Stegostoma tigrinum: one gene and its partners. The protein of the gene in region 1 purifies or fractionates together with the protein of each later gene. This does not show direct contact. Links are inferred from orthologs where the notes say so. Each region holds a gene or a part of one and is shown on either strand. Other genes may lie near its edges.

Region 1 (7,807 bases):
AAAGGATGTTAAATTTCGTCATTAATTATATATTTTTGGGAAGTATATTTTGTAAATTATTTTGACAGATTTAACTGAAAGGAAATCACTGTTGGATCATTACATTAGACAGTTAAATATACTGTGTGTTTTCATGACTTTGGCTGATAATATAGTGAATGCATGCACCTAGAGTGTAGTATAAAGTGGCTACAATTTTCACAGTGTCTGAAATTGCATATTTGTGCAGCATGTGCTTGTTTAATTTCCCCAAGAACTACACACATGCAAACAATTCTCACCAACCCCTTGCTCACCAAGAATCTGCATACTTTTGCCTTAATAATTAACGATGGGGAAAGAGGGGGCAGTGACAGAGTATGATCTTGTACATCCTTCCAGTATATTTATGGCAGGTAGTAAAGGGAGCAGGAGAGTCACCTGGTACAGATACAGATCAATGCCCTTCAAGCTAGCAACTTATTCATGGAGAAATAAACTAGCCCTTGAAGTAGGTATAAGCACATGCTTTGTCTGTCTTGTGTGCAAAGAAGATAAAATACTATAACTGGTTCTCCAGTTGTATCAGACCAACTGAAAATTTCCAATATTTTCTGTTTTGTAAAACTTAAAGCTCCCAAAGTGGGTTCAATCTTCTTGTGTTCGTTATGCGGTGAATTTTAGGGCATAGTTGCAGATGTACAAACAGGCCTTCATGCTGATTTGTCTGCTGTGGCGTAGTGGGTAGCATTCTCATTCTGTGTTTCGAGGTTGTGGGTTTAAGTCCCACACAAATGACTTGAATACAAAACTCCCGGTTGACACTCCATTGCAGTGCTGTGGTCATGCAGCATTGTCAGAGTCATTACTGAGGTGGTAACGCTGCTGCATCATTGCAGATGTCATCTTTCACATTAAATGTTTAAACCAAGTCCTGATCTGCCAGAATAAAAACCGAAAGAACTGCAGATGCCACCCTCTCGGATTGATGTGCGACTTTAACAGAAATCCCACTGAAGAAAATATTACCCGGTTGCAGCCTCATTTATTGTGTCTGGGATCTGTCTGTGCACAAAACGGCTGCCATGTTTGCTGTGTTCCAAAGGTGAATACTGATGAAAACACTTGGAAAAGTATTTTGCAGCTGTAAGGTGTTCTGATATTCTGAATTTGTGAAAGGCACTCTGAAATTGCAAGTCTGTTTTTCCAGTAACTGAGACAGGTTTAAAAATGCAGAAATCTTTCAACGCGTAATTTTCACAATCAATTTAAATTCATTTAATCATTATTTTTATGTTCTAATGATTGATTTCTCAATTTCTGACACTGATCAGTCTGTCAATTGTTCTCTTAAGATCCTAATGAAATATTTTGTAAAAATTTAATACAGTTTTTAATGCATTTTTATTCCCAATGTTCATTTGTCACCACAATTCTAACCAGCTTGGCTTTTCCCATTCCTACAGCTATTTATGCTTACACTCAACAGAAATAGTTTTCCATCCCGTGTAATATTTAAATCATTCAAAGGTATTTTCCAGAAGATATCAAAACTTAACATATAAAAACTTATCACGGGGCAAACGCGATAGGCAAATAAAATGCAACCAAAACCCCTGCAAATGATAAAAATGTGTCAAAACACAGAAAACTCTGGATGAACAGGCTAGTAAGCCTCTGTGCAAAGAAAACAGGTAATGTATTAATAAGGGGACTGTCCGATAATAGTGACACATCAATTCTACCAGTAATTAAGTTAACCTGAATAAGTCAGTGAATTTTGTACGGTGTGCAGAATTCAGTACATACTGGAATTTGTTGGTCAATTTTACAGGGATTGGTACTGGGTCCACTTTTGTTTGTCATTTATGCAAATAATTTTAGATAAGGATTTGGAAGGCACGGTTAGTAAGTTCACAGATGACACCAAAATTAGTGATATGACGGACAGTGAAGGTGGTTATTTAAGATTACAAAGAGATCTTGATCAATTAGGTCAATGGGTTGAGGTGTGACAGATGGAGTTTAATTTGGATAAATGCAAGGTATTGCATCTCGGTAAAACAAACAAGGGCTGGGACTTATTCAGCTAATGGTGGGGCCCTGGGTAGTGTTGCAGAACAGAGAGGTCTAGAGGTTCAAATACAGAACTCTTTGAAGTTTGCGTCACATGTAGATTACAGCTAATACAGTGAAAAGTTTCAACAGTTGCTTCAATCTGGTGACATTTTCAATCGTTTAAAAATAAAAAGGATGAAAAATATAACTGGAAGACAGTCATGCGTCACCATCCCTCCTCTGCTGCCATGTGTGTCAGACCCATCGATGTGGGAGTTGCCACTCTAAGTGCCATCTCTTTGGTGCTAGAACAACCTTGCCAGGCCACGTGCTGAATCCATACACGCACCCAGAACCAGGCTGGCTCTGCTGCTGTCTCAATGATGCCAGGAGTCCCAGCCTGAGGCATACCACACTGCTGCCGCTGCAGCCACCATCTTGCAAATGCCAAGAGTCCCTGCTCTGGGTATACTGCAACACGGAGACCCTGGCTCCACTCCTAGGCCATGGCCACCGTCTCACAAAGGGTCTGGCTCTGGCTGTCCTCCTGCAAGATATCACCTCGCTGGCACCATCACCTTAAAATCTGCTGCCACTGCTGCTTCCATTTGCTGGAGGAGCTTTGCTGCCACCGCCAGCCCTAAATACGGGAGGACGTCCCTGTTGCCACTGCAGCCACGGCCTCCAGTTGCTGTGAAGAACTGTGCCCACTGGCAGGAGCCACCACCAAACCACTGTCAAAGCTGCCACACTGATCTCGCTGACTAATCTGCTGCAAAAGGGCTCCAAAGAAAAATGAAAGTAAAAGAGCAGCAGTAAAAAGAAATAAAAGATGGAAAGCAGGCTGGAGCGGATCAACCCCGGGCAAGATCCCGCACACTGCCCTGCCACTCTGCTGTTATCTTCAATCTGTTGGACGTCATGTTGAGGTTGTACAGGACATTTGTAAGGTCTCATCTGGAGTACATGTTCTGGTCCAGTCGTCCTTCTACAAGAAGAACATTATCAAGCTGGACAGGATTCAGGAAAGATTTACCAGGATGTTGCAGACACAATAAATGGAGAGTTTTAGTTATAAGGAGAGGCTGGATAGACTGGGACTATTTTCCTTGGAGCATAGAAGGTTGACAGGTGACCTTGTAGAGGTTTATAAAATCATGAGGGCTATAGATAAAGGCGAATGGTAGGTGTCTTTTCCCCAGGGTGGGGGATTTCAAGACTAAGGAGCATATTTTTAAGCTAAGAGGATAAAGATTTAAAGACATGAGGGGCAACTTGCTTACACAGAAGTGGTTTGTATGTGGAATGAACTGCCAGAGGAAGGGGTGCATGCGGGTAAAATTACAATGTTCAAAAAACATTTTGATAAGTACACGAATAAGAAATGTTTGGAGGGATATGGGCCAAGCGCAGGCAGATGCGACTATTTTAGTTTAGGGTTATGGTCAGCATAGACTGGTTGGACCAAAGGGTCTATTCATATGACTGTGTGACCCTATTACTGGATGTATGTATCACACGTCGATGAGCACTACCCTGAATGATGGAAAGAACATGAAGTTCAAGCTGGAGCAAGGCATCTGTCTTCTAGATGAAAGGGGATGTAAAAGGTCTCATGGCACTATTTTGAAGAACAGGGGAGCTCTTCTCAATGTCTTGGGTCCAACATTTATCCCTTAATCAATATCACGAAAAGCACTCTCTGCTCCATTTACTGTGCTGTGGGAGCTTTACACTGTGTGCAGATTGTTTACCTTTTGTACTCTGACTGCATCTGCATTTCCAAAGCACTTTCTTGGCTCTTGAAGAGCTCCAAAGCACCAACAGTTGTGAAAGTTGCTGTTAAGAGTGCAAGTTATTTCATATATACACAAAATCTATCTTTGTGCATGTTTTGAGTTCTAGCTATGCGTCGACATTGAAATCATAGGTTTTCCCCCAATTTTGACATGTCTTGAAGATAGAATTTTGTTGCAAGCAATTTTTCAGCAAACTGTCTGGTGGCATTGTATGGTAGAAATAGAAACACTGTTGAAGAAACTTGGTACTGAGTCAGTTATGATTCTTCTTCAAAGAGTCACATCATTGTGGAATCATAACAGACCCGAAACTGTTTCTTTTGTGATAAGGTGCAGAGCTGGATGAACACAGCAAGCCAAGCAGCATCAGAGGAGCTGGAAGGCTGACATTTCGGGCCCAGGCCCTTCTTCAAAAGGTTTCTGCTGTGTTCTCTGAGATTAGAATAGGGCTAACCTTTCAAATCCGATAGCTTCAAAGATGAGTCAATATCGGACGCTAACGGTTGACTCTGTGTTTCTTTCTCTCCGCACAAATGCTGCCAAACACACGTGAGTTACTCCAGCGCTTTGCTATTCATATTTTCCTTTTGGCAGTTTATCAGCGGCTAAAACTTTTTTAAAAAGGTGTATTTTCTTCTGGGGAAGGGTCTCCGGACTGGAAATGTTAACTTTGCACTCATGCTGAGTTGCTCCGGCACTTTGTATCTTTTGTTTCACATGTGCAACAGCCACAGTTCATTGAGAAGCGCAATGTCTAAAATGCAACTCGGACAAAGTGCCCCGCGGCACCACGTGCACCGGGAAGGCGAGCACGGCGCGCGCGCACACCAACCTCCTGGGCCCTCACTGGCGGCGCGTACGTACGCGGATGGGTGCGCGCGCACGTACGTACGTACCTCCCGCCCTCCAACCCTCCGATTGGCCGCCGCTCGGTAGCCCGGAGCCCGGATGTGGGCAGGGGCCCGGCTATAAATAGGAGCGGCGCCGGGGCGGGAGCGCAGAGCGGTTTGAAAATCCGGGGCCGGAGGATACGAGGCGGTGATGGTGAGGAGGCAAACAAAATGTTGTCTAATTTTAATTTGTGAAAATAAGCGACAGATCCGCGGTCGCAGACAGGGGTTTGGGGGGGGGGAAAAAAACATCTCGACCACAGGACGCAAACCGGTTTTATTTTTTTTTACCTCTTGTTGCTATTCTCTGATAGGCTGGCGGTAAAGCGGGTAAAGACTCCGGCAAGGCGAAGACCAAAGCGGTTTCCCGCTCACAACGAGCAGGCCTCCAGGTCAGTGCGGTTTCCCCGCGTCCATTACCGCCGCCTCCCTCCCACTGACTGACTGCAGTAGGGTCCAGCCTCGCACGGGCGGCGCGAGAGGAGGGAGTGCGGGCGGGCGCTTCTCTCAATGTTTTAGAACACGCCCCTCCCCCTTCTCCCTCCGGGAACCGGCTGCGGCCGGAAATGTCTTCCCTTCCCTCCCCTCCCCCCCCCCCCCCCCCCAACATATAAATATAGCGTTTCACGTCGCGGACGTTTGCTTTTTGTTTTCTGCCGGCCGTCTTTTCGTTTCCCCCCCCTTCTAAATCTATTTATTTTTACAGTTCCCAGTCGGTCGCATCCACCGACACCTGAAGTCCAGGACCACCAGCCACGGGCGGGTGGGCGCCACGGCAGCGGTTTATAGCGCGGCCATTCTGGAGTATCTGACGGCCGAGGTGAGTGTGTGGGGGGTGGGGAGCGCGTTACAGGCCGCGGCTCCATGACCAGCAGGTCCGTCACCGGATATGTTCCGTGTTGCCGGCTGGTAGGGTTCGAGGCGACTGTGTTCCGGCTTTATTTGGAGTCGGCCTTGCCGAATGGTCGGAGTGAAAGGTTCCGGTCTTATTACTTCCCTTATCGGGGGAAGGGTCATCGGACCTGAAACATTAACTCTGATTTCTCTTAAAGGTTGCTGCCAGACTTGCTGAGCTTTTCTCAGCAGTTTGTTTTTGTTTGATTTACAGCGTCCGCAATTTTTGGTCATGATTTCCTTCACTGTTCAGGTTTAATAATTAAATCTTCAGTCGTGTCTACTTGGGATCCTTCTGCAATCTCCTGTTCAGTCGAGCTGCATGTGGTTGCTTTGATTTTTGGAAATGGTTTCCCTACCCCTGACAAGTGATATTTGATATTGTATTTGATAATAGTTGAACTGCATTTCAAACCTTGGATTGTTACTCCCTTTTTAAAATTCATGATTCTTGTGTTGAAGTTCCCCCCCACCCTTGGTCTCTAATGCCTAACAACAACTAGTCTGTTTTAAGTTTTCAAGATAAAATGTGGGGCTGGATGAACACAGCAGGCCAAGCAGCATCTCAGGAGCACAAAAGCTCCTGAGATGCTGCTTGGTCTGCTGTGTTCATCCAGCCCCACATTTTATTATCTTGGATTCTCCAGCATCTGCAGTTCCTATTATCTGTTTTAAGTTTTCACTTGACTTTCCCTCAGAGGGGGGAACATTGAGGACTCCAAAGCATTAACTGATTTCTTTCTTTCCTGATGTTGCCATGCAGGCAAGTTTCTCCACAATTTTATTATTTTTATCTCCCTACACTTACAATACAAAGCATAACATTCACAATATCCTTCACTTGATTGCAGTAAATTTATATTAATACTTGATCTCTGGACTCAATTTTTAAAATTTGTTTGTTAAACAGCAGTGCTGTTTTTAATACCTTACCTGTTTTGTCAGGTACTAGAGCTTGCAGGAAATGCATCCAAAGACTTGAAGGTAAAACGCATTACCCCTCGCCACTTGCAACTTGCCATTCGTGGGGATGAAGAGTTGGATTCCTTAATCAAGGCTACCATTGCTGGTGGTGGTGAGTTAACATTTTAATTCAATAAACACTCAACTGTTAGAATTTTCTCTTCCCACAAAATATTGTTCTTCTGTGCTGTGGTGTCTTCCCTGCTGATTTATCTTTTTGTTTTCAGGAGTCATTCCTCACATTCACAAATCCCTGATTGGCAAAAAAGGACAACAGAAGACTGTTTGATGGTGGAAACTTCCTTTTTGGTTCACTAGTCTCAGGACTCCATCTCCAAATAATCAGCTGTAGAATGTTGGAGGATCTGACTGGAAAGACACTGGACTTCTGAAATGTGATTACATAGACATTTTTATCTCAATAGTATTCAGGGGAGGGGTCTTTTAAAAAGTAAAGCTCAATAATCAAACTTCCATGTGCACTAGTCTGGGAAAGCCAAATCTGGGACCATATCCTCCAAGGTGGGACTGTACCTGGGTGACCTGGAGTTGTTTCCTGGTTACTGCCTTTTCATAGCATCTCTGTTGCAGTATTTTAAATGCAGGAAGAGCTCACTGCTTGTATGACTTTTATTTTTGAAGTGGATTTAAATCCAGATGGTTTGTTCTGACTGTTTGTTCTGTCTATTGGTGTATGAAGTTTTCAATAAAATGTATTAAATGGCTGTGTGACTTGTCTTTTTAATTTGGGAATGCAAAGATCCCTAGCTAACCATTGAAGATAGTTTGTCCAGCATTAAAAAGCTCTGTCTAATGGCATTGATCACGTAACAGCTGCCAAGTGTTTCTTAATATACCACTGCATTTTGCAATTTCCTTGGTGTGAAACTTTTTGAAAGGTTTAATTCTGATGCTTTGACCTGTTTCTTTGCCTTTTTTCCAATAAACTGCAACAATATATGGTCCCCATCAAACAGCTTGTGCTATTTTGCTGCAAACAAATCCTGGCCAAAGATCTCATCCTGTTATACTTATTAGCAAGGCTATAACAGGATAATTTGCTTTGTACAGTGAGGTCAGTATTTAACTCGGTCACTGAACTGTAGAAATTCAAGTGTGGGTGCATTTATTCATGGGAATAACTTTAATAAGCTGAAATGTGGCTGGATTAAGATGTAAACAAAGTTTGTCATCAAGCTTTTACCAGATGGTGAACAGTTGAAG
Region 2 (6,907 bases), on another chromosome or scaffold:
ACCTGCATTAACCATTTCCCCGGGCAGTTCACTCCAGGTTCTCATAAATATTTTCTGAACCCTCTCAAATTAATATCATTCGTTTTGCAGGGCAACCAGAACTAGACACAGTGCTCCAGAAGACACCTCACCATTAAATGTCTCCAAGAAGGAGTTAGATATAATTAGAGTCAAACAACACAGAAGCAGACTCTTCAGCCCAACTAATCCACACTGACCAGGTTTCCCCCAAGCTAAACTAGTCTCACGTGCCTGTGTTTGGCTCATGTCTCTCCAAACCGTTCCTATTCCTGTACTTACCCAAATGTCTTTTAAACGTTGTAACTGTGGCTGCACTCCGCATCCTCTGGAAGTTCATTCTACATACAAACCACTCTCTGTGTAAAAAAAATTGCCCCTCATGTCTTGTTTTCAATCTTTCTCCTCTCACCTTAAAAAATTCTGCCTGGTTTTGAAATTCCCCCAGTCTAGGGAAAAACTTTTCACCCTGTCCGTGCCTCTCATGATTTTATAAACCTCTGTAAGGTCAGCCCACAACCTCCTACACTCCAGAGGAAAAAAGGTCCCAGCCTCTCGCCATAACTTAAACCCTTCATTCCAAGCAACATCCCGGCAAATCTCTAGTAAAACTCGAAACGTTACCTCTGTTCTCTCTCCTTCCACCAGACTTGCTGGGTTTCTACAGCAAACTTCAGCTTTTGTTTTGGGTTTCCAGTATCTTAGAACATAGAACATAGAACAGTACAGCACAGAACAGGCCCTTCAGCCCACAATGTTGTGCCGACCATTGATCCTCATGTATGCACCCTCAAATTTCTGTGACCATATACATGTCCAGCAGTCTCTTAAATGACCCCAATGACCTTGCTTCCACAACTGCTGCTGGCAACGCATTCCATGCTCTCACAACTCTCTGCGTAAAGAACCTGCCTCTGACATCCCCTCTATACTTTCCACCAACCAGCCTAAAACTATGACCCCTCGTGCTAGCCATTTCTGCCCTGGGAAATAGTCTCTGGCTATCAACTCTATCTATGCCTCTCACTATCTTGTATACCTCAATTAGGTTCCCTCTCCTCCTCCTTTTCTCCAATGAAAAGAGACCGAGCTCAGTCAACCTCTCTTCATAAGATAAGCCCTCCAGTCCAGGCAGCATCCTGGTAAACCTCCTCTGAACCCTCCCCAAAGCATCCACATCCCTCCTACAATAGGGCGCCCAGAACCGGACGCAGCACTCCAAGTGCGGTCCAACCAAAGTTTTATAGAGCTGCAACAAGATCTCACGACTCTTAAACTCAATCCCCCTGTTATTAATGTCAACTTTCATTAAAATCCATCCAGGATCAAAAACTGCATTGATTTGGAAAATGTGCAAGACTAGGGATTAGATTACAATCACACCGTTTAATTTTCTAGGGTTTGGATCATCGTATTGCTGCTTCTAACACACTCCCTGGCATCTGGAGGGGTACATGAATTGGGAAGGTTTAGGAGGATACGGGCCAAATGTTGGCAGATGGGACTAGATTCATTTAGGATATCCGGTCAGCATGGACTGGTTGGGCCGAAGGATCTGTTTCCTGACTGTATGATCGTATATGACCATAAGACAGGAGCAGAAATTGGGCCATTCGGCTCATCAAGTCCACTCCGCCATTCAATCGTGGCTGATAAGTTCTTCAACAACATTCTCCCCGTAACCCTTGATAATCAAGAACCTATCTATCTCAGTATTAAATGTGCTCAATGGCTTGGCCTCCACAGCCTTCTGTGGCAGTGAATTCCATAGATTCACCACTCTCTGGCTGAAGAAGCTTCTCTCTTATCTCCGTTCTGACAGGTCTTCCCTTTACTCTAAGGCTGTGCCCTCAGGTCCTAGTCTCTCCTACAAATGAAAACATCTACACAACATCCACTCTGTCCAGGCCATTCATTATTATATAAGGTTCAATTAGAACCCCCTCATCCTCCTAAACTCCAACGGGTATTGTCCCAGAGTCCTCAAATGTTCCTTATATGTTAAGCTTTTCATTCCTGGGACCATTCTTCTGACCCTCCTCTCAACCCACTCCAGGGCCAGTACATCTTCCCCGAGATATTGGGCCCAAAACTGCACACAATACTCCAAATGTAGCCTGACCACAGCCTTATAAAGCCTCAGTAGTACATCCCTGCTTTTAAATTCAAGTTCTCTGAAAATAAATGCCAACATTGCATTAGCCTTGCTTACTACTGACTCAACCTGCAAGCTTACTTTGAGAGAACGGGACTAGATTAATTTAGCAAAGCAGGTCAGTACGGACAAGATGGGCTGAAGTGTCTGTTTCCACGCTTTGAAACCCCACATGTGACGAGATTAATTTAGGATAGGAGGTCAGCATGGACTGGTTGGGCTGAAGGGGCTAGTTCCACGCTGTATGACACTTTATGGGACTAGGTTAATTCACGATAGGGGATCAGCATGGGCTGGTTATGCCAAAGGGTCTGTTTCCTGACTGTATGGCTCTATTTCGGACTAGATTACTTTAGGATAGGCGGGTCAGCATGGACTGGTTGGGCCGAAAGGTCTATTTGAAGCATCTGAAAAAATCTCCCCAGTGCAGGTAAGTGGCACAGCGCTGATTGACAGCGGCGGCAGCCAATGATGACACAAGACATAGTAACCGATAGGAACTAAGCCCAATGGCGGCTGAGATGGGAGGCGTTTCCCGAAGTGGCCCCGCCCCCCAGACAGCAAGCTCGGTTGCGCCCGCTTGTCCCTTCCAAGATGGCGGCGGCCTCCCGCCACCTTGGGCGAGCTCTCCCTCTTCTTTTAAAGTCCCTCTTTCTCCTTCACCTCATGGAAACCCCCGTAGGTCGTCATGTAGAAGTCATCGTCCTCCTCGGCCTCCAGCAGCCGCGACATGCGGTTACCGGCATTTTTCCTCGACGGCCGGTTCTCCGCCAGGCTCATGGCGCCGCCGTCTCCTGCTTCTCCGTTCGAGCCGCTCGGAGTGCGCTCGGTCGCGCCTGCGCGTCTTCCTCCCACTGGTCCTCCAGGACGTGACGATCGATCCCGGAGAACGTCGATCGAGAAACACCACTTCCCTATTGGCTACTTATTTCAGTGAGGGGTTTGGGATGAATCAATGAGGGGTGATTTTAATTTTATTTAAGAAAATCCTTCCTCAGGTCCTGAGTTGCTTTTTGTGAAAGAATCCAGTTGTCCGCACTCAAACCTGTACAACCCTCGGTTGGCTATTCGACTGGATGAGGCATCACCCCCAGCACTCATCCCCACGTACATACTGCGCAATCATGTTCGTAAATGGGTAATTAATTCTTCCACCGTCCCCCTCCCAAACCAGACCAAGTCTTACACGTGACTCCAGACCCATTGGCAACGGTGGGGTCACCTCCCCTGAAACTGTGTGTGCCAGGCATCCAGCTCAAGGGGTAGTAAGTGACAAAAGAGATACCAGTAATGCCGCATTGTCCGAAAGGGTTAAATGAAGACAGACTAACATATCCACAAGGGCACTCACCAATTTTTACAGATGCACCATAGAAAGCATCCTGTCTGTAAACTGCTCTTCCCAAGATCACGAGAAATTACAGACAGTGGCCCAGCCCATCACACAAACCAGCCTCCCATCTGTTGACTCAGTCTACACTTCCCACTGCCCTTGGGAAAGCACCTAACATCATCAAAGACCCCCTCCCACCCAGTTATATTCCCTCCCATCCTCTACTGCCGAAAGAAGATACAAAAGTTTGAAAAGATATACCAACAGATTCAAGAGCTGCTTCTTCCCTGCTGATATCAGATTTATGAACCTCTCACATACTATAGTCCATCGCTGCCTGTCTCTGTGTGTCTCTGTATGTGTCCATTATTCTGTAAGTCTGTGTAAATGTCGGTGTGGTGTCTATATCTGTCTCCATCTGTTTCTGTGCCTCTGTACATCTGTGTATGTGTCTCTGTATGTCTTGGTGTCTCAGTATGTCTGTTTCTGTGTATATGCCTGTGTGTGTCTCAGTATGTCTGTTTCTGTGTGTCTGTCTCTGTGTGTATGTCTCTGTGTGTCTCTGTATGTCTGTCACTGTGTGTATGTCTGTGTGTGTCTCAGTATGTCTGTTTCTGTGTGTCTGTCTCTGTGTGTATGTCTGTGTGTGTCTCTGTATGCCTGTCACTGTGTGTATGTCTGTGTGTGTCTCTGTATGTCTGTCGCTGTCTGTATGTCTGTGTGTGTCTCTGTATGCCTGTCGCTGTGTGTGTCTTTGTATGCCTGTCGTTGTGTGTATGTCTCTGTGTGTCTGTATGTCTGTCGCTGTGTGTATGTCTGTGTGTGTCTCTGTATGCCTGTCGCTGTGTGTATGTCTCTGTGTGTCTCTGTATGTCTGTCGCTGTGTGTGTCTCTGTATGTCTGTCGCTGTGTGTATGTCTGTGTGTGTCTCTGTATGTCTGTCGCTGTCTGTATGTCTGTGTGTGTCTCTGTATGCCTGTCGCTGTGTGTGTCTTTGTATGCCTGTCGTTGTGTGTATGTCTCTGTGTGTCTGTATGTGTGTGTGTCTCTGTATGTCTGTCGCTGTGTGTATGTCTGTGTGTGTCTCTGTATGTCTGTTGCTGTGTGTCTGCCTCTGTGTGTCTGTCTGTGTGTATGTCTGTCTGTTATGACCTTGGGCAGAGCAGTTACTATCCGAAGCTGTGATGCATTGGACCAGATGCTTTCTACGAGAGAAAGCAGAGTTGGCATGTTTGGGTCCAGTGGCCCGTCTTTCGAATTTCCCAAGAGGCGCGAAACATTAACCCATCCACAGATACTGCCAGACCAGCTGATTTTTGCCAGTGATTTCCATGATTGCTTCTGATTTGCAGCATCTTTCCCTGAGGCGAATACGTGAGAGCAGGGGGCTGTGGAATTCCCTGCCGCAGAAAGCAAGAAGGAGCCAAAGTAGCAGTTAATGGCACAGTTATCTTTTTATTACCCTGTGCTGGAGTGGCTCAGTGGTTAGCGCAACAGCCTCACTGCGCCAAGGACCTGGGTTTGATCCCACCCTTGGGCGACTGTCTGTGTGGAGTTTGCACATTCTCCCCGTGTCTCTGTGAAGTTGCACGGTATTTTTTTCAGATTCTTATGTTCTTTCTAATTTACCTCAGTGTAACTATTTATTGTTCAGTCGAAAGGCCGTGTGAAATATGGCTATTGTGATTAGGCAGAATGTTTGCTCAGACAATCACCGCGGAAGGCTATTCGGCCCATCCAGTCCGCACCGACTCTGCAACCAGCATCCCACCTCTCCCCCTCTGGACGTGGACTGGACTTTTCCGATTGTGGGTCGGTCCTGAGCGAGGGGGCCACGGCGACATGACGGGGCGGAGACGAGGGCATCCGCTTCTGTCGGAGGCTTTGGACCTCACGGGGACGGGATTTCCTCTCAGGCCAGGAGTCGGAGGGATCATGGAATTCGCCGCAGTGACGATCGCCTCAAACCGCTGGGGCTCGAGGGGGCCAAATGGCCTGCTCCGAGTCAACACGCAGACGCTGGGGAACCGCAGGAGGTCGGGCGGCAGTGAGAGACATCAACGGTCTTTGACCCGAGAGCCACAGGACTCATGGCACACTTCAAAAACAACAGGGAGAGGTCAGTTCAACATCTGTCCTCCTTCTACAGTGGTAGGAGGTTTGCAAACCTGTTGTTGGTGAGCCCTGCCTTTGTGCAAACTGTTTTATGGTTTTACAGGGTTTCACCATCAGATTGCACTGATCAGGTGGATTGATGACTTCTGACCTCGGTCGTCAGGATCAGTTATCTCCGATAAACCAGTTATCGATTGATCAGAGCCCTCCCCCATACCCACGACATTGTTCAGAGAAATAATCCAGTCTCCAAGCGTGCATGCGGGATTATCGCGGGACTGTGGATCCGGGAGACGTTCCGGGGACCTGGATTCGAAGACCGCCCACGGCAGATGGTGGAATTTGAATCCAATAAAATATTTGGAATTCAGAATCTAACTGACGAAAGCACAAGGTAGGGGTGGAGGTGAGATACACCTTTGGGACAGGGTAAAAATACAGCACAGCCTTGTGGGCCGAAGGGCCTGTGCTGTTGTGTGTTATAATGATGAATCCCTTGTTGGAAAAACCCAACTGGTTCCTTCATGTCCTTTCGGGAAGGAAGCGACCATCCTGACCTGGTCTGGCCCAAATGTGTGATTCCAGACCCATAGCAATGTGGTTGATGGTTAATTGCACCCCCCCCCCCCAGGCCACCGGGCAATTAGGGATGGGGCAATAAATGCTGCCGTGCGAGCATCACCCTCATCCCGTGATGGGAGAGCGAACAAATTTTCTTCACCACCCAACCCCCCCCCCCGCAACAACAACACCATTGGTGACCCTCACACACATTTACAACCAGGGGAAAGCACAACGCTACCCAACCCCTTCAACACTCACCCTCCGACAGCGCCCGCTCCCTCAGCACTGACCCTCCGACAGCGCCCGCTCCCTCAGCACTGACCCTCCGACAGCGCCCCCTCCCTCAGCACTGACCCTCCGACAGTGCCCGCTCCCTCAGCACTGACCCTCCGACAGCGCCCGCTCCCTCAACACTGACCCTCCAACAGTGCCCGCTCCCTCTGCACTGACCCTCCGACAGCGCCCGCTCCCTCGGCACTGACCCTCTGACAGCGCCCACTCCCTCGGCACTGACCCTCTGACAGCGCCCGCTCCTTCAGCACTGACCCTCTGACAGCGCCCGCTCCCTTGGCGCTGACCCTCTGACGGTGCCCGCTCCCTCGGCGCTGACCTTCCGACGGTGCCCGCTCCCTCGGCGCTGACCCTCCGACTGCGCCCGCTCCCTCAGCACTGACCCTCTGACAGCGCCCGCTCCCTCGGCGCTGACCCTCTGACAGCGCCCG
Region 3 (6,843 bases), on another chromosome or scaffold:
GCCTTGCAGCATCCTGAAAGGCCAAAGGTTTTAACATTTCCCACTCTTCCTGGTTCTTTCCTCTGAAACTTTCTTCTTTGCTGCTGGATCAAATTAACTTCAAAGCATATTTGAATACAGAATTGTACTGATCAGATAAAGTGGAAAGACTCATTTCTGCCTGGTAGCCTATGGCCAGAGCAAAGTGAACTAAGGATCAATTCTCTTCATTTTTATATTTTTGTTAAGGGACAACAGTTGAATAAACTCTGAAGCTTTGCCGACATCCACGTGTCTAGCTGTTATCCTTGCAGATGAGTTGCTTCTTTAAGAGCCTCTCTGCCTACTGTATTAGTTTAGGTATGTCTTCAGCTCCCCAAGCACTAACTAAAGAGCAGTTTTCAAGTTTCCCCAGCGTAGGGGAGTCCAAAACTAGAGGGCATAGATTTAATATGAGAGGAACGATTTAAAAGGGACTCGAGGGGCAACTTTTTCACACAGAGGGTGGTGTGTAAATGGAACAAGCTGCCAGAGGAAGTGGTAAAAGTATGTACAATTACAACATTTTAAAGACATTTGAACAGGTGTTTGGATAAGAAATGTTTAGAGGGATGTAGACCAAATGCAGGTAAATGGGACTAGTTTAATTTAGAAAACCTGATCGGAAATTGGCTGGCTGAAAGAAGACAGAGGGGTGGTAGTTGATGGGAAATGTTCATCCTGGAGAGCAGTTACTAGTGGTGTACTGGAAGGGTCGGTGTTGAGTCTACTGGTGTTTGTCATATTTATAAATGACCTGGATGAGGGCATAGAAGGATGGGTTAGTAAATTTTGCAGACGACACTAAGGTCGGTGGAGTTGTGGATAGTGACGAAGGATGCTGTAGGTTGCAGAGAGACATGGATAAGCTGCAGAGCTGGGCTGAGAGGTGACAAATGGAGTTTAATGCAGACAAGTGTGGGGGGGGGAGGGGGGGAGTGTGTGGGGGGGGGGGAGTGTGTGGGGGGGGGGAGTGTGTGGGGGGGGGGGAGAGTGTGTGGGGGGGGGGGAGTGTGTGGGGGGGGGGGGGGGAGTGTGTGGGGGGGGGGAGTGTGTGGGGGGGGGGAGTGTGGGGGGGGGGAGTGTGTGGGGGGGGGGGGAGTGTGTGGGGGGGGGGGAGTGTGTGTGGGGGGGGGAGTGTGTGTGGGGGGGGAGTGTGTGTGGGGGGGGGAGTGTGTGTGGGGGGGGAGTGTGTGTGGGGGGGGGAGTGTGTGTGGGGGGGGAGTGTGTGTGGGGGGGGGGAGTGTGTGGGGGGAGTGTGGGGGGGGGGGAGTGTGGGGGGAGTGTGGGGGGGGGGAGTGTGGGGGGGGGAGTGTGGGGGGGGGAGGGAGTGTGGGGGGGGAGGGAGTGTGGGGGGGGAGTGTGGGGGGGGGGGGAGTGTGGGGGGGGGGGGAGTGTGGGGGGGGGGGAGTGTGGGGGGGGGGGGGAGTGTGGGGGGGGGAGTGTGGGGGGGGGAGTGTGGGGGGGGGGAGTGTGGGGGGGGGGGAGTGTGTGGGGGGGGGAGCGTGTGTGGGGGGGGGAGCGTGTGGGGGGGGGGAGTGCGTGGGGGGGGAGTGCGTGGGGGGGGGAGTGCGTGGGGGTGGGAGTGCGTGGGGGGGGAGTGCGTGGGGGGGGAGTGCGTGGGGGGGGGGGAGTGCGTGGGGGGGGGGTGCGTGGGGGGGGGGGTGTGCGTGGGGGGGGGGGAGTGCGTGCGGGGGGGGTGCGTGCGGGGGGGGGAAGTGTGTGGGGGGGGGAAGTGTGTGGGGGGGGGTGTGCGTGCGTGGGGGGGGGAGAGTGCGTGCGTGCGGGGGGGGGGGGGGGAGTGTGCGTGCGTGCGGGGGGGGAGTGTGTGCCTGCAGGGAGGGGGCGGGAGAGAGTGCATGCGTGTGGGGGGGGGGTGTGGGGGGGGGAGGGTGTGGGGGGAGTGTGTGGGGGGGGAGGGAGTGTGTGGGGGGGGAGTGTGTGGGGGGGGAGGGAGTGTGTGGGGGGGGAGAAGAGTGTGTGGGGGGGGAGAGTGTGTGGGGGGGGAGAGAGTGTGTGGGGGGGGGGAGAGTGTGTGGGGGGGGGAGAGTGTGTGGGGGGGGAGAGTGTGTGGGGGGGGAGAGTGTGTGGGGGGGGGAGTGTGTGGGGGGGGGAGGGTGTGGGGGGGGGAGGGTGTGGGGGGGGGGGAGAGGGGTGTGGGGGGGGGGGAGGGTGTGGGGGGGGGGAGGGTGTGGGGGGGAGTGTGTGGGGGGGGAGGGAGTGTGTGGGGGGGGAGGGAGTGTGTGGGGGGGGAGGGATGTGTGGGGGGGGGGGAGTGTGTGGGGGGGAGGGAGTGTGTGGGGGGGGGAAGAGTGTGTGGGGGGGGGAAGAGTGTGTGGGGGGGGAGAGTGTGTGGGGGGGGGAGAGTGTGTGGGGGGGGGAGAGTGTGTGGGGGGGGAGAGTGTGTGGGGGGGGGAGTGTGTGGGGGGGGGGAGTGTGTGGGGGGGGGGGGAGTGTGTGGGGGGGAGTGTGCGTGTGGCGGGGGAGTGTGCGTGTGGCGGGGGGGGGAGTGTGCGTGTGGGGGGGGGGAGTGTGTGCGGGGGGGGAGTGTGTGGGGGGGGGGGAGTGTGTGGGGGGGGGGGGAGTGTGTGCGGGGGGGGAGTGTGTGCGGGGGGGGGGAGGGAGTGTGTGCGGGGGGGGGAGGGATGGGAGTGTGCGCGGTGGGGGGGGGGGGAGGGGAGTGTGAGGGGAATTTGGGGGCCGGTGGGGACGGGGACGGTAAGAGCCCGGGCACCAGGATCTCGAACATTCTGCAGCCGCGCAGCTCCCTCCGCCGGGAATCTCTGCCCGTTCTAACGGGGGCCCGCTCCCGCTTGGATAACAACGGAATGCTCTCCCCTACCCCGGGGGGGTGGTGAGGGCTCTCCCCCGAGGATCTGTCTCGCCGTCCCCCGGTCCCCGCTCACCGTTGCCATGCTGCTGCCGCCACCGGTTTCCAACCACCGACAACACTTCCGGCTGTACCACCCGCCCAGCTCCGACGAGGAAACAAAAGCGCCGAAACTAGGTTCCGCTCCAGTCCTTCCTTCCTCCGCCAAACCCAAGTTCATCACTATCAACAACAACAGCTTGTACATACCATACTCTAGCGCCTATTACGCAATGAAACCTCCCAAAGCGTTTTTCAGGATCATTATCGAATGAAGTCTGACTATGAATAAAAGCTTGATCGTGGGTTTTAAGATCCATAAGGAGGTGATTAAGCCAGATATAATGGAGACAGTAAGAGACTTCCAGAGTTTTGGAATCCATTAGCAGCTGAATGTACAGTTCCCAGTAGTGGAGCAATTGTTGGTGGGAATCAAAAGAGGCCAGAAATAAAAGACGGGGGTTACTCAATTCGAGGTTTGTGAGGCTGAAGGGAATTACCAAGATAAGTTATCCTAATTTCCAAAACATTTGATGGCTGGGTTTTCATAGACCCACTACAGTGCAGAAAGAGGCCATTTGGCTCATTGAGTCTGCACCAATCCTTTGAAGAACATCCCACCCATCCTATCCCCATAAACCTGCATGGCCATTTCACCTAGCCAGCACACCTCTGAACTGTGGGAGGAAACCAGACCACCAGGCAGAAGCAGGGAGGACATGCAAACTCCACATAGACAATTGCCTGAGACTTGAATCTAAGTGCCTGGTACTGTGAGGAAGCAGTGCTTGCTACTAAGCCACCTGGGGATTCATTATATTTCAGTAGCATGGTAGACTTAACTGGTAATATCTAAGAGAGGCATTTGGGTTTAAGAAAGAATGAGGCTACAGTTTATGGAAGTAATGGCTGATCTATAGTTCAACTTCCTATAATAACATAATAAAAAGGAATAAGTGAGCTGACTTCACCATTGACAGCAATTCCACTTACCAATCCCAAACCAATTTAAGGTGTAAAAATATATCGATGTCTGTCTTGGAATATATATTTCTATAGTGCATAATATCATTTTGATAAGGTTGGTTCTTCTGAAGCAGAACCCCTGACATGAGCCAGTTATGTTGAGTGCCTGTTTTGGTACTGTGAGCTCAATTGTAAGATAATTTCACATGAAGAAGATTTTGTTTTATTCATTCATGAAATGCATTAATCACTGGCTAGGTCAACATTTATTGCCCATCCCTAATTGCCCAGAGTCAACCATATTACTGTGTTGTCTGAGTCACGCGTAGGCCAGACGAGGTAAAGATGGCAGTTTCCTCCCCTAAAGGACTTTACTGAACCAGATGGGTTTTTCCTGGCTATCAACAATGGATTCAGGGTCATCTTTAGACTCCTGATTTTGGATATTTATTGAATTCAAATTCCATCATCTGCCTTAGGAAGCCTTAAAACCAGCTTTGAATTTTACCAGGGTCTCTGGACTAAGACTCCAGTGACAATTGCCACTGGACCCAGTCCCAGTGCGGAGCGCGGTGACAGAGGCCCAGTCCCAGTGAGGGGGGTGGTGGCAGTGACCCAGTCTCAGTGAGGAGGGGGGTGGCAGTGACCCAGTCCCAGTGAGGAGGGGGGTGGCAGTGACCCAGTCTCAGTGCGGAGGGGGGTGGCAGTGACCCAGTCTCAGTGCGGAGGGGGGTGGCAGTGACCCAGTCTCAGGGTGGAGGGTGATGACAGTGATCCATTTCCAGTTGGAGCGTGGTGGCAGTGACCCAGTCCCAGTGTGGAGCCCGGTGGCAGTGACCCAGTCCCAGTGTGGAGGGTGATGACAGTGACCCAGTCCCAGTGTGGAGGGTGATGACAGTGACCCAGTCCCAGTGTGGAGCTCGGTGGCAGTGACCCAGTCCCAGTGAGGAGGGCGGTAGCAGTGACCCAGTCCCAGTGTGGAGCCCGGTGGCAGTGACCCAGTCCCAGTGTGGAGGGTGATGACAGTGACCCAGTCCCAGTGTGGAGGGTGATGACAGTGACCCAGTCCCAGTGTGGAGCCCGGTGGCAGTGACCCAGTCCCAGTGTGGAGCTCGGTGGCAGTGACCCAGTCCCAGTGAGGAGGGCGGTGGCAGTGACCCAGTCCCAGTGTGGAGCTCGGTGGCAGTGACCCAGTCCCAGTGAGGAGGGCGGTGGCAGTGACCCAGTCCCAGTGTGGAGCTCGGTGGCAGTGACCCAGTCCCAGTGAGGAGGGCGGTGGCAGTGACCCAGTCCCAGTGTGGAACCTGGTGGCTGTGACCTAGTCACAGTGCGGAGGGCGGTGGCAGTGACCCAGTCCCAGTGCGGAGGGCGGTGGCAGTGACCCAGTCCCAGTGAGGAGGGCGGTGGCAGTGACCCAGTCCCAGTGTGGAGCCCGGTGGCAGTGACCCAGTCCCAGTGAGGAGGGCGGTGGCAGTGACCCAGTCCCAGTGTGGAGGTCGGTGGCAGTGACCCAGTCCCAGTGTGGAGGTCGGTGGCAGTGACCCAGTCCCAGTGAGGAGGGCGGTGGCAGTGACCCAGTCCCAGTGTGGAGGGCGGTGGCAGTGACCCAGTCCCAGTGTGGAGGTCGGTGGCTGTGACCTAGTCCCAGTGTGGAGCGCGGTGGCAGTGACCCAGTCCCAGTGTGGAGGTCGGTGGCTGTGACCTAGTCCCAGTGTGGAGCGCGGTGGCAGTGACCCAGTCCCAGTGAGGAGGGCGGTGGCAGTGACCCAGTCCCAGTGAGGAGGGTGATGACAGTGACCCAGTCCCAGTGCAGAGCACGGTAGCAGTGTCCCAGTCCCAGTGTGACACATGGCGGTAGTGACCCAGTCCCAGTGTGGAGCCCGATAGCAGTGACCCAGTCCCAGTGTGGAGCCCGGTGGCAGTGACCCAGCCCCAGTGTGGAGCCCGGTGGCAGTGACCCAGTCCCAGTGAGGAGCCAGGTAGCAGTGACCCAGTCCCAGTGTGGAGACAGGTAGCAGTGACCCAGTCCCAGTGTGGAGCCCGGTAGCAGTGACCCAGTCCCAGTGTGGAGCTCGGTGGCAGTGACCCAGTCCCAGTGTGGAGCCCGGTGGCAGTGACCCAGTCCCAGTGTGGAGCCCGGTGGCAGTGACCCAGTCCCAGTGTGGAGCCAGGTAGCAGTGACCCAGTCCCAGTGTGGAGCCCGGTGGCAGTGACCCAGCCCCAGTGTGGAGCCCGGTGGCAGTGACCCAGTCCCAGTGAGGAGCCAGGTAGCAGTGACCCAGTCCCAGTGTGGAGACAGGTAGCAGTGACCCAGTCCCAGTGTGGAGCCCGGTAGCAGTGACCCAGTCCCAGTGTGGAGCTCGGTGGCAGTGACCCAGTCCCAGTGTGGAGCCCGGTGGCAGTGACCCAGTCCCAGTGTGGAGCCCGGTGGCAGTGACCCAGTCCCAGTGTGGAGCCAGGTAGCAGTGACCCAGTCCCAGTGTGGAGACAGGTAGCAGTGACCCAGTCCCAGTGTGGAGCCAGGTAGCAGTGACCCAGTCCCAGTGTGGAGCCCGGTGGCAGTGACCCAGTCCCAGTGTGGAGACAGGTAGCAGTGACCCAGTCCCAGTGTGGAGCCCGGTGGCAGTGACCCAGTCCCAGTGTGGAGCCAGGTAGCAGTGACCCAGTCCCAGTGTGGAGCCCGGTGGCAGTGACCCAGTCCCAGTGTGGAGCCCGGTGGCAATGGCCCAGTCCCAGTGTGGAGCCCGGTGGCAGTGACCCAGTCCCAGTGTGGAGCCAGGTAGCAGTGACCCAGTCCCAGTGTGGAGCCCGGTGGCAGTGACCCAGTCCCAGTGTGGAGCCCGGTAGCAGTGACCCAGTCCCAGTGTGGAGCCCGGTGGCAGTGACCCAGTCCCAGTGTGGAGCCCGGTGGCAGTGACCCAGTCCCAGTGTGGAGCCCGGTGGCAATGGCCCAGTCCCAGTGTGGAGCGCGGCAGCAGCTGGTGGTCAGA
Region 4 (6,927 bases), on another chromosome or scaffold:
CCATCCTAGCATTTAGGGGAAAAAAAGGCATATCCAACTGACAGAGATAATGGGAACTGCAGATGCTGGAGAATTCCAAGATAATAAAATATGAGGCTAGATGAACACAGCAGGCCAAGCAGCATCTCAGGAGCACAAAAGCTGACGTTTCGGGCCTAGATCCTTCATCAGAGAGGGGGATGGGGAGAGGGAACTGGAATAAATAGGGAGAGAGGGGGAGGCGGACCGAAGATGGAGAGTAAAGAAGATAGGTGGAGAGAGTATAGGTGGGGAGGTAGGGAGGGGATAGGTCAGTCCAGGGAAGACGGACAGGTCAAGGAGGTGGGATGAGGTTAGTAGGTAGATGGGGGTGCGGCTTGGGGTGGGAGAAAGGGATGGGTGAGAGGAAGAACCAGTTAGGGAGGCAGAGACAGGTTGGACTGGTTTTGGGATGCAGTGGGTGGGGGGGAAGAGCTGGGCTGGTTGTGTGGTGCAGTGGGGGGAGGGGACGAACTGGGCTGGTTTAGGGATGCAGTAGGGGAAGGGGAGATTTTGAAACTGGTGAAGTCCACATTGATACCATATGGCTGCAGGGACGCCCTTGACCGCGTCTCCCGTATTTCCCGCAACACATCCCTCACACCCCGCCCCCGCCACAACCGCCCTAAGAGGATCCCTCTCGTTCTCACACACCACCCTACCAACCTCCGGATACAACGCATCATCCTCCGACACTTTCGCCATTTACAATCCGACCCCACCACCCAAGACATTTTTCCATCCCCACCCCTGTCTGCTTTCTGGAGAGACCACTCTCTCCGTGACTCCCTTGTTCGCTCCACACTGCCCTCCAACCCCACCACCCGCAGGAAATGCTACACTTGTCCCCACACCTCCTCCCTCACCCCTATCCCAGGCCCCAAGATGACATTCCACATGAAGCAGAGGTTCACCTGCACATCTGCCAATGTAGTATACTGCATCCACTGTACCCGGTGCGGCTTCCTCTACATTGGGGAAACCAAGCGGAGGCTTGGGAACCACTTTGCGGAACACCTCCGCTCAGTTCGCAACAAACAACTGCACCTCCCAGTCGCAAACCATTTCCACTCCCCCTCCCATTCTCTAGATGACATGTCCATCATGGGCCTCCTGCACTGCCACAACGATGCCACCCGAAGGTTGCAGGAACAGCAACTCTCATTCCGCCTGGGAACCCTGCAGCCATATGGTATCAATGTGGACTTCACCAGTTTCAAAATCTCCCCTTCCCCCCCTGCATCCCTAAACCAGCCCAGTTCGTCCCCTCCCCCCACTGCACCACACAACCAGCCCAGCTCTTCCCCCCCCGACCCACTGCATCCCAAAACCAGTCCAACCTGTCTCTGCCTCCCTAACCGGTTCTTCCTCTCACCCATCCCTTCCTCCCACCCCAAGCCGCACCCCCATCTACCTACTAACCTCATCCCACCTCCTTGACCTGTCCGTCTTCCCTGGACTGACCTATCCCCTCCCTACCTCCCCACCTATACTCTCTCCACCTATCTTCTTTACTCTCCATCTTCGGTCCGCCTCCCCCTCTCTCCCTATTTATTCCAGTTCCCTCTCCCCATCCCCCTCTCTGATGAAGGGTCTAGGCCTGAAACGTCAGCTTTTGTGCTCCTGAGATGCTGCTTGGCCTGCTGTGTTCATCCAGCCTCACATTTTAATATCCAACTGACACTCTACTACCAACACAGCCATTTTGCACACAGCAAGAGTCCATTAATAAAATGGACCACTGCTTAGCTATTGTTTGGCAGTGTACATCATGCAAGATAGGTTGACCAAGGTACCGTTCCATAACGTCACAGAAACTTTGACGTTTTAAAAACCAAGACAAGCACAAATGCCACTGATTAAAGTTATATGGAATAGCCTGACAGTCAAACACTCAGTACTGCAGTATCATCCTTGATTTAGGCTGTGCACTCAATGGTGTACATTAAACTGACACAAGCAAATAAGCAAAGACTTAGCTTTCTACAGGCATCCATTTTCACTGGGATATCCCTAGTTGATTAAGGATTACTGATTTTTTTCCTAGAAACGTTGGATAAATCATTTGTCTGGTAAAAACGTCTAATTATGCTGCACACAATCTTATAATTGGTTGATAAATCAGATAAACCTGTCCTTCCTAGAACATTCTTAGAAGTACATTTGCAAAAACAAGCCTTTCATTCCATTCATCACGAAAATCAGATGATTTCGGCCTTGCTAACAGTCAACGCTTCTACACTCAACTAGATTAGATGTAGCTGTACACATTGTAATCAGAAAAGGTTTTATTATCAAAGTCATCGAGAGCTGGTTACAACAGGGTGTGGAATATTAAGATATAACGGTGTTATAACACCAGAGGAAACGTGTAGTCTCGGGCCACAGACCAAGGATTTATTCTGAACCGACCTTGTCTCTCCGAGCTCACGCGGGGTGGGAATGGGGTTTAAAGTGAACCCAGCTCGCAGGAGCCCCCTCCCCGGGGAGGGGGAAACCCCAGGCGGGACCCGAACAGCATCTGCGCCACAGACCATACGGCGGCACCAAGACCGGGCCCACCCTCCTAGCGGCCTCCGCCACGTGTTCGGGCGGGGTGGACCGAAACGGGAGTCGCTAACCGGGGCCTCTCTTAGGCCGGAGCCGGGGCGGACGACGACAGGGCCCCCTCAGGCCCCGGAGCGCACACGCGACACAAACGCAACTGGAGGCGGTGGGCCCGGGCCGGACACGGTATTCCAGCCCGAGGCCGAGAGCCCGAACCTCCCTGTGGCTTAGCCCCGTTTTTACCCGCCCCCGGAACACCATGTCCCCGCAATTTACCCCCGGCATTCACTTGTTTATTTATTACCCCCCCCCCCCCGAGGTTTCTACCTGGCTCCGTACCTCTCGCTTTCTCCGCGCGCTCCAGCCCCGCTCTCTCTGATGGCGCTAAAGAACGAGCGGCGCCGCCGATTGGTTGGATATAACCTGCGGGGGCGCGCCCCGGGGACCGCCTTCTACGTGCGCGCCCCCAAACCACGCCGGCCGGTGCACGCACCCCCAAACTCCTCCCGCCACCGTTACGTCGTGGGACTTCGATGTTGTGGCCATTTCGGAGACATGGATAGAGCAGGAACAGGAATGGTTGTTGCAGGTTCCGGGATTTAGATGTTTCAGTAAGAACAGAGAAGATGGTAAAAGGGGCGGAGATGTGGCATTGTTGGTCAAGGACAGTATTACAGACGCAGAAAAGATGTTTGGGACTCGTCAACTGAGGTAGTATGGGCTGAGGTTAGAAACAGGAAAGGAGAGGTCACCCAGTTGGGAGTTTTCTATAGGCCTCCGAATAGTTCCAGAGATGTAGAGGAAAGGATAGCAAAGATGATTCTCGATAGGAGTGAGAGTGACAGGGTAGTTGTCATGGGGGACTTCAACTTTCCAAATATTGACTGGGAACACTATAGTTCGAGTACTATAGATGGGTCAGTTTTTGTCCAGTGTGTGCAGGAGGGCTTCCTGGCACAGTATGTAGACAGGCCAACAAGGGGCCAAGCCACATTAGATTTGGTACTGGGTAATGTGCCTGGCCAGGTGTTAGATTTGGAAGTAGGTGAGCACTTTGGTGATCACAATTCTGTTATGTTTACTTTAGTGATAGAAAGGGATAGGTGTATACCACTGTGCAAGAGTTATAGCTAGGGGAAAGGCAATTACGATGAGATTACGCAAGATTTAGGGAGCATAGGATGGGGAAGGAAACTGCAGGGGATGGGCACATTAGAAATGTGGAGCTTATTCAAGGAAAAGCTCCTGTGTGTCCTAGATAAGTATGTACCTGTCAGGCAGCGAGGAAGCTGTAGAGTGCGGGAGCATTGGTTTACGAAGGAGGTGGAATCTCTGGTCAAGAGGAAGAAGAAGGCTTATGTTAGGATGAAATGTGAAGGCTCAGTTAGGGCACTTGAGGGCTACGAGGTAGCCAGGAAAGACCTGAAGAGAGAGCTCAGAAGAGCCAGGAGGAGACATGAGAAGTTGTTGGCGGATAGGATCAGGGTAAACCCTAAGGCTTTCTATAGGTATTAAAGGAATAAAAGAATGACGAAAGTAAGATTAGGCCCAATCAAGGATAGTAGTGGTAAGTTGTGTGTGGAGTCAGATGAGATAGGGGAAGCGCTAAATGAATATTTTTCAACAGTATTCACTCTAGAAAATGACAATGTTGTCGAGGAGAATACTGAGATACAGGCTACGAGACTAGGTGGGATTGAGGTTCACAAGGAAGAGGTATTAGAAATCCTTCAGAGGGTGAAGATAGATAAGTCCCCTGGGCCGGATGGGATTTATCTTAGGATCCTCTGGGAAGCCAAGGCGGAGATTGCCGAGCCTTTGGCATTGATCTTTAACTTGTCATTGTCTACAGGAATAGTGCCAGACGACTGGAGGATAGCAAATGTGGTTCCCCTGTTCAAGAAGGGGAGTAGAGACAACCCTGGTAAATTATAGACCAGTGAGCCTTACCTCAGTTGTTGGTAAAGTGTTGGAAAAGGTTATAAGGGATAGGATTTATAATCACCTAGAAAAGAATAAATTGAGTAGGGATAGTCAGCACAGTTTTGTGAAGGGTAGGTCGTGCCTCACAAACCTTATTGAGTTCTTTGAGAAGGTGACCAAACAGGTAGATGAGAGTAAACCGGTTGATGTGGTGTATATGGATTTCAGCAAGGCGTTCGATAAGGTTCCCCACAATAGGCTACTGTACAAAATGCGGAGGAATGGAATTGTGGGAGATATAGCAGTTTGGATCGGAAATTGGCTTGCTGAAAAAAGACAGAGGGTGGTAGTTGATGGGAAATGTTCATCCTGGAGACCAGTTACTAGTGGTGTACCGCAAGGGTCGGTGTTGGGTCCACTGCTCTTTGTCATTTTTATAAATGACCTGGATGAGGGCGTAGAAGAGATAATGGGAACTGCAGATGCTGGAGAATCCCAGATAATAAAGTGTGAAGCTGGATGAACACAGCAGGCCAAGCAGCATCTCAGGAACACAAAAGCTGACGTTTCGGGCCTGGACCCTTCTTCAGAGAGGGTGTAGAAGGATGGGTTAGTAAATTTGCGGACGACACTAAGTTCGGTGGAGTTGTGGATAGTGACGAAGGATGCTGTAGGTTGCAGAGGGACAGAGATAAGCTGCAGAGCTGGGTTGAGAGGTGGCAAATGGAGTTTAATGCAGACATGAGGTGATGCACTTTGGGAGGAGTAACCGGAAGGCAAAGTACTGGGCTAATGGTAAGATTCTTAGTAGCGTAGATAAGCAGCAAGATTTTGGTTTCCATGTACACAGATCCTTGAAAGTTGCCAACCAGGTTGACAGGGCTGTTAAGAAGGCATACAGTGTTTTAGCTTTTATTAATAGAAGAATCGAGTTCCAGAACCAAGAGGTTATGGTGAAGCTGTACAAAACTCTGGTGCGGCCGCACTTGGAGTATTGTGTACAGTTCTGGTCACCGCATTATAAGAAGGATGTGGAAGCTTTGGAAAGGGTGCAGAGGAGATTTACTAGGATGTTGCCTGGTATGGAGGGAAGGTCTTACGAGGAAAGGCTGAGGGCCTTGAGGCTGTTTTCATTAGAGAGAAGAAGGTTGAGAGGTGACTTAATTGAAACATTTAAAATAATCAGAGGGTTAGATAGGGTGGAGAGGGAGAGCCTTTTTCCTAGGATGGTGACGGCGAGCACGAGGGGGCATAGCTTTAAATTGAGGGGTGAAAGATATAGGACAGATGTCAGAGGTAGTTTCTTTACTCAGAGAGTAGTAAGGGAATGGAACGCTTTGCCTGCAACGGTAGTAGATTCGCCAACTTCAGGTACATTTAAGTCGTCATTGGATAAGCATATGGACGTACATGGAATAGTGTTGGTTAGATGGGCTTGAGATCGGTATGACAGGTCGGCACAACATCGAGGGCCGAAGGGCCTGTACTGTGCTGTAATGTTCTATGCTCACTCTCCGTCTGATTGACAAACCGTGTCCCACCTTGCCTCACCCACTCCATCCCCCCTACACCCCTCCCTGGCACTCCCCCCACTCCCTTTCCCCACGGTCCCACCACTTCATCCCTCCCACTCCATTCCCCCCACACCCCTCCCTGGCACTCCTCCCACTCCTTTTCCCCACACTCCCACCACTTCATCCCTCCCACTGCATCCCCCTACACCCCTCCCTTGCTCTCCCCCCACTCCATCTCTCTCTGCTTTCCTTGCTCTCGCCTGACTTCGTCCCCGGCTTCGCCCCCAACCCGCTGTCCTCTTCCCTGTTCTCCCCCGCCTCATCCCACCCGCTTCCCCCCCCGCTGTCCCCCACTGCCCCCCCCCGCTCTCCCCCCTCTTCATCCCCCCACATCTTCACCCACTCCCCTCCCCTGCTTTCCCCCCAATCCGTCCCCCCCCACACTCTCCCTCTCCCACCCTGCTGACCCCTCCTCCCCACTCTCCACTCTGACCCCAGTTCCACCCCTGTCACCACCACCTCCTCCCTCACTCTGTCCTCCTCCAACCCATCCCCCCCACTTACCTCACTCCCCACGACTTCTTCCCCCGCCACACTCTCCCGCTTCCCCCCCACCCTACCCCCCTCCACAAATTCCTCCCCCTCCCCTCAGTCCCTCTCTGCCTCCTCTCCCACACTCAACCCCTCTCCCACACTTGCCCCCTCTCCCCCACAAAACACCCTCCCACTTAGCCCCTCCCCATCACCTGTTCTCCCTCCAAACACCACCTAAGCTGCCCCTCTCACAAATTCTGTCTAGACCCCCACTCTGTTCACCTTAATGTTCGTGGATTAGACAAGGTGGAATTTTTAAAGTGCATCCAGGAGAGTTTTTAGTGCCAGTGCATAGATAATCCTGCTAGAGGTGGGATAGTGCGAGACCTCA

Evidence for each region.
Region 2: the proteins of histone H2A.Z (region 1) and vps72b purify together in Homo sapiens (affinity purification with mass spectrometry; 4 studies listed by BioGRID and IntAct, with this or other methods). This does not show direct contact. The link is inferred for Stegostoma tigrinum from reciprocal best matches to the Homo sapiens genes H2AZ1 and VPS72.
Region 3: the proteins of histone H2A.Z (region 1) and ruvbl2 purify together in Homo sapiens (affinity purification with mass spectrometry; 6 studies listed by BioGRID and IntAct, with this or other methods). This does not show direct contact. The link is inferred for Stegostoma tigrinum from reciprocal best matches to the Homo sapiens genes H2AZ1 and RUVBL2.
Region 4: the proteins of histone H2A.Z (region 1) and nap1l1 purify together in Homo sapiens (affinity purification with mass spectrometry; 3 studies listed by BioGRID and IntAct, with this or other methods). This does not show direct contact. The link is inferred for Stegostoma tigrinum from reciprocal best matches to the Homo sapiens genes H2AZ1 and NAP1L1.

Annotation. Positions count from the first base shown.
Region 1 is NC_081354.1:4,079,892-4,087,698, forward strand, and holds histone H2A.Z, read left to right. Parts: upstream 1-4,781; 5' UTR 4,782-4,877; coding exon 4,878-4,880; intron 4,881-5,040; coding exon 5,041-5,118; intron 5,119-5,432; coding exon 5,433-5,546; intron 5,547-6,565; coding exon 6,566-6,695; intron 6,696-6,810; coding exon 6,811-6,872; 3' UTR 6,873-7,308; downstream 7,309-7,807. UniProt on the Homo sapiens protein: Variant histone H2A which replaces conventional H2A in a subset of nucleosomes. Nucleosomes wrap and compact DNA into chromatin, limiting DNA accessibility to the cellular machineries which require DNA as a template.
Region 2 is NC_081400.1:5,038,826-5,045,732, forward strand, and holds the start of vps72b (vacuolar protein sorting-associated protein 72 homolog), read right to left. Parts: upstream 3,009-6,907; 5' UTR 2,954-3,008; coding exon 2,837-2,953; intron 1-2,836. UniProt on the Homo sapiens protein: Deposition-and-exchange histone chaperone specific for H2AZ1, specifically chaperones H2AZ1 and deposits it into nucleosomes.
Region 3 is NC_081391.1:18,535,717-18,542,559, reverse strand, and holds the start of ruvbl2 (ruvB-like 2), read right to left. Parts: upstream 3,017-6,843; 5' UTR 2,934-3,016; coding exon 2,925-2,933; intron 1-2,924. UniProt on the Homo sapiens protein: Possesses single-stranded DNA-stimulated ATPase and ATP-dependent DNA helicase (5' to 3') activity; hexamerization is thought to be critical for ATP hydrolysis and adjacent subunits in the ring-like structure contribute to the ATPase activity.
Region 4 is NC_081371.1:63,287,976-63,294,902, reverse strand, and holds the start of nap1l1 (nucleosome assembly protein 1-like 1), read right to left. Parts: upstream 3,005-6,927; 5' UTR 2,905-3,004; exon of another isoform or gene 2,893-2,904; intron 1-2,892. UniProt on the Homo sapiens protein: Histone chaperone that plays a role in the nuclear import of H2A-H2B and nucleosome assembly.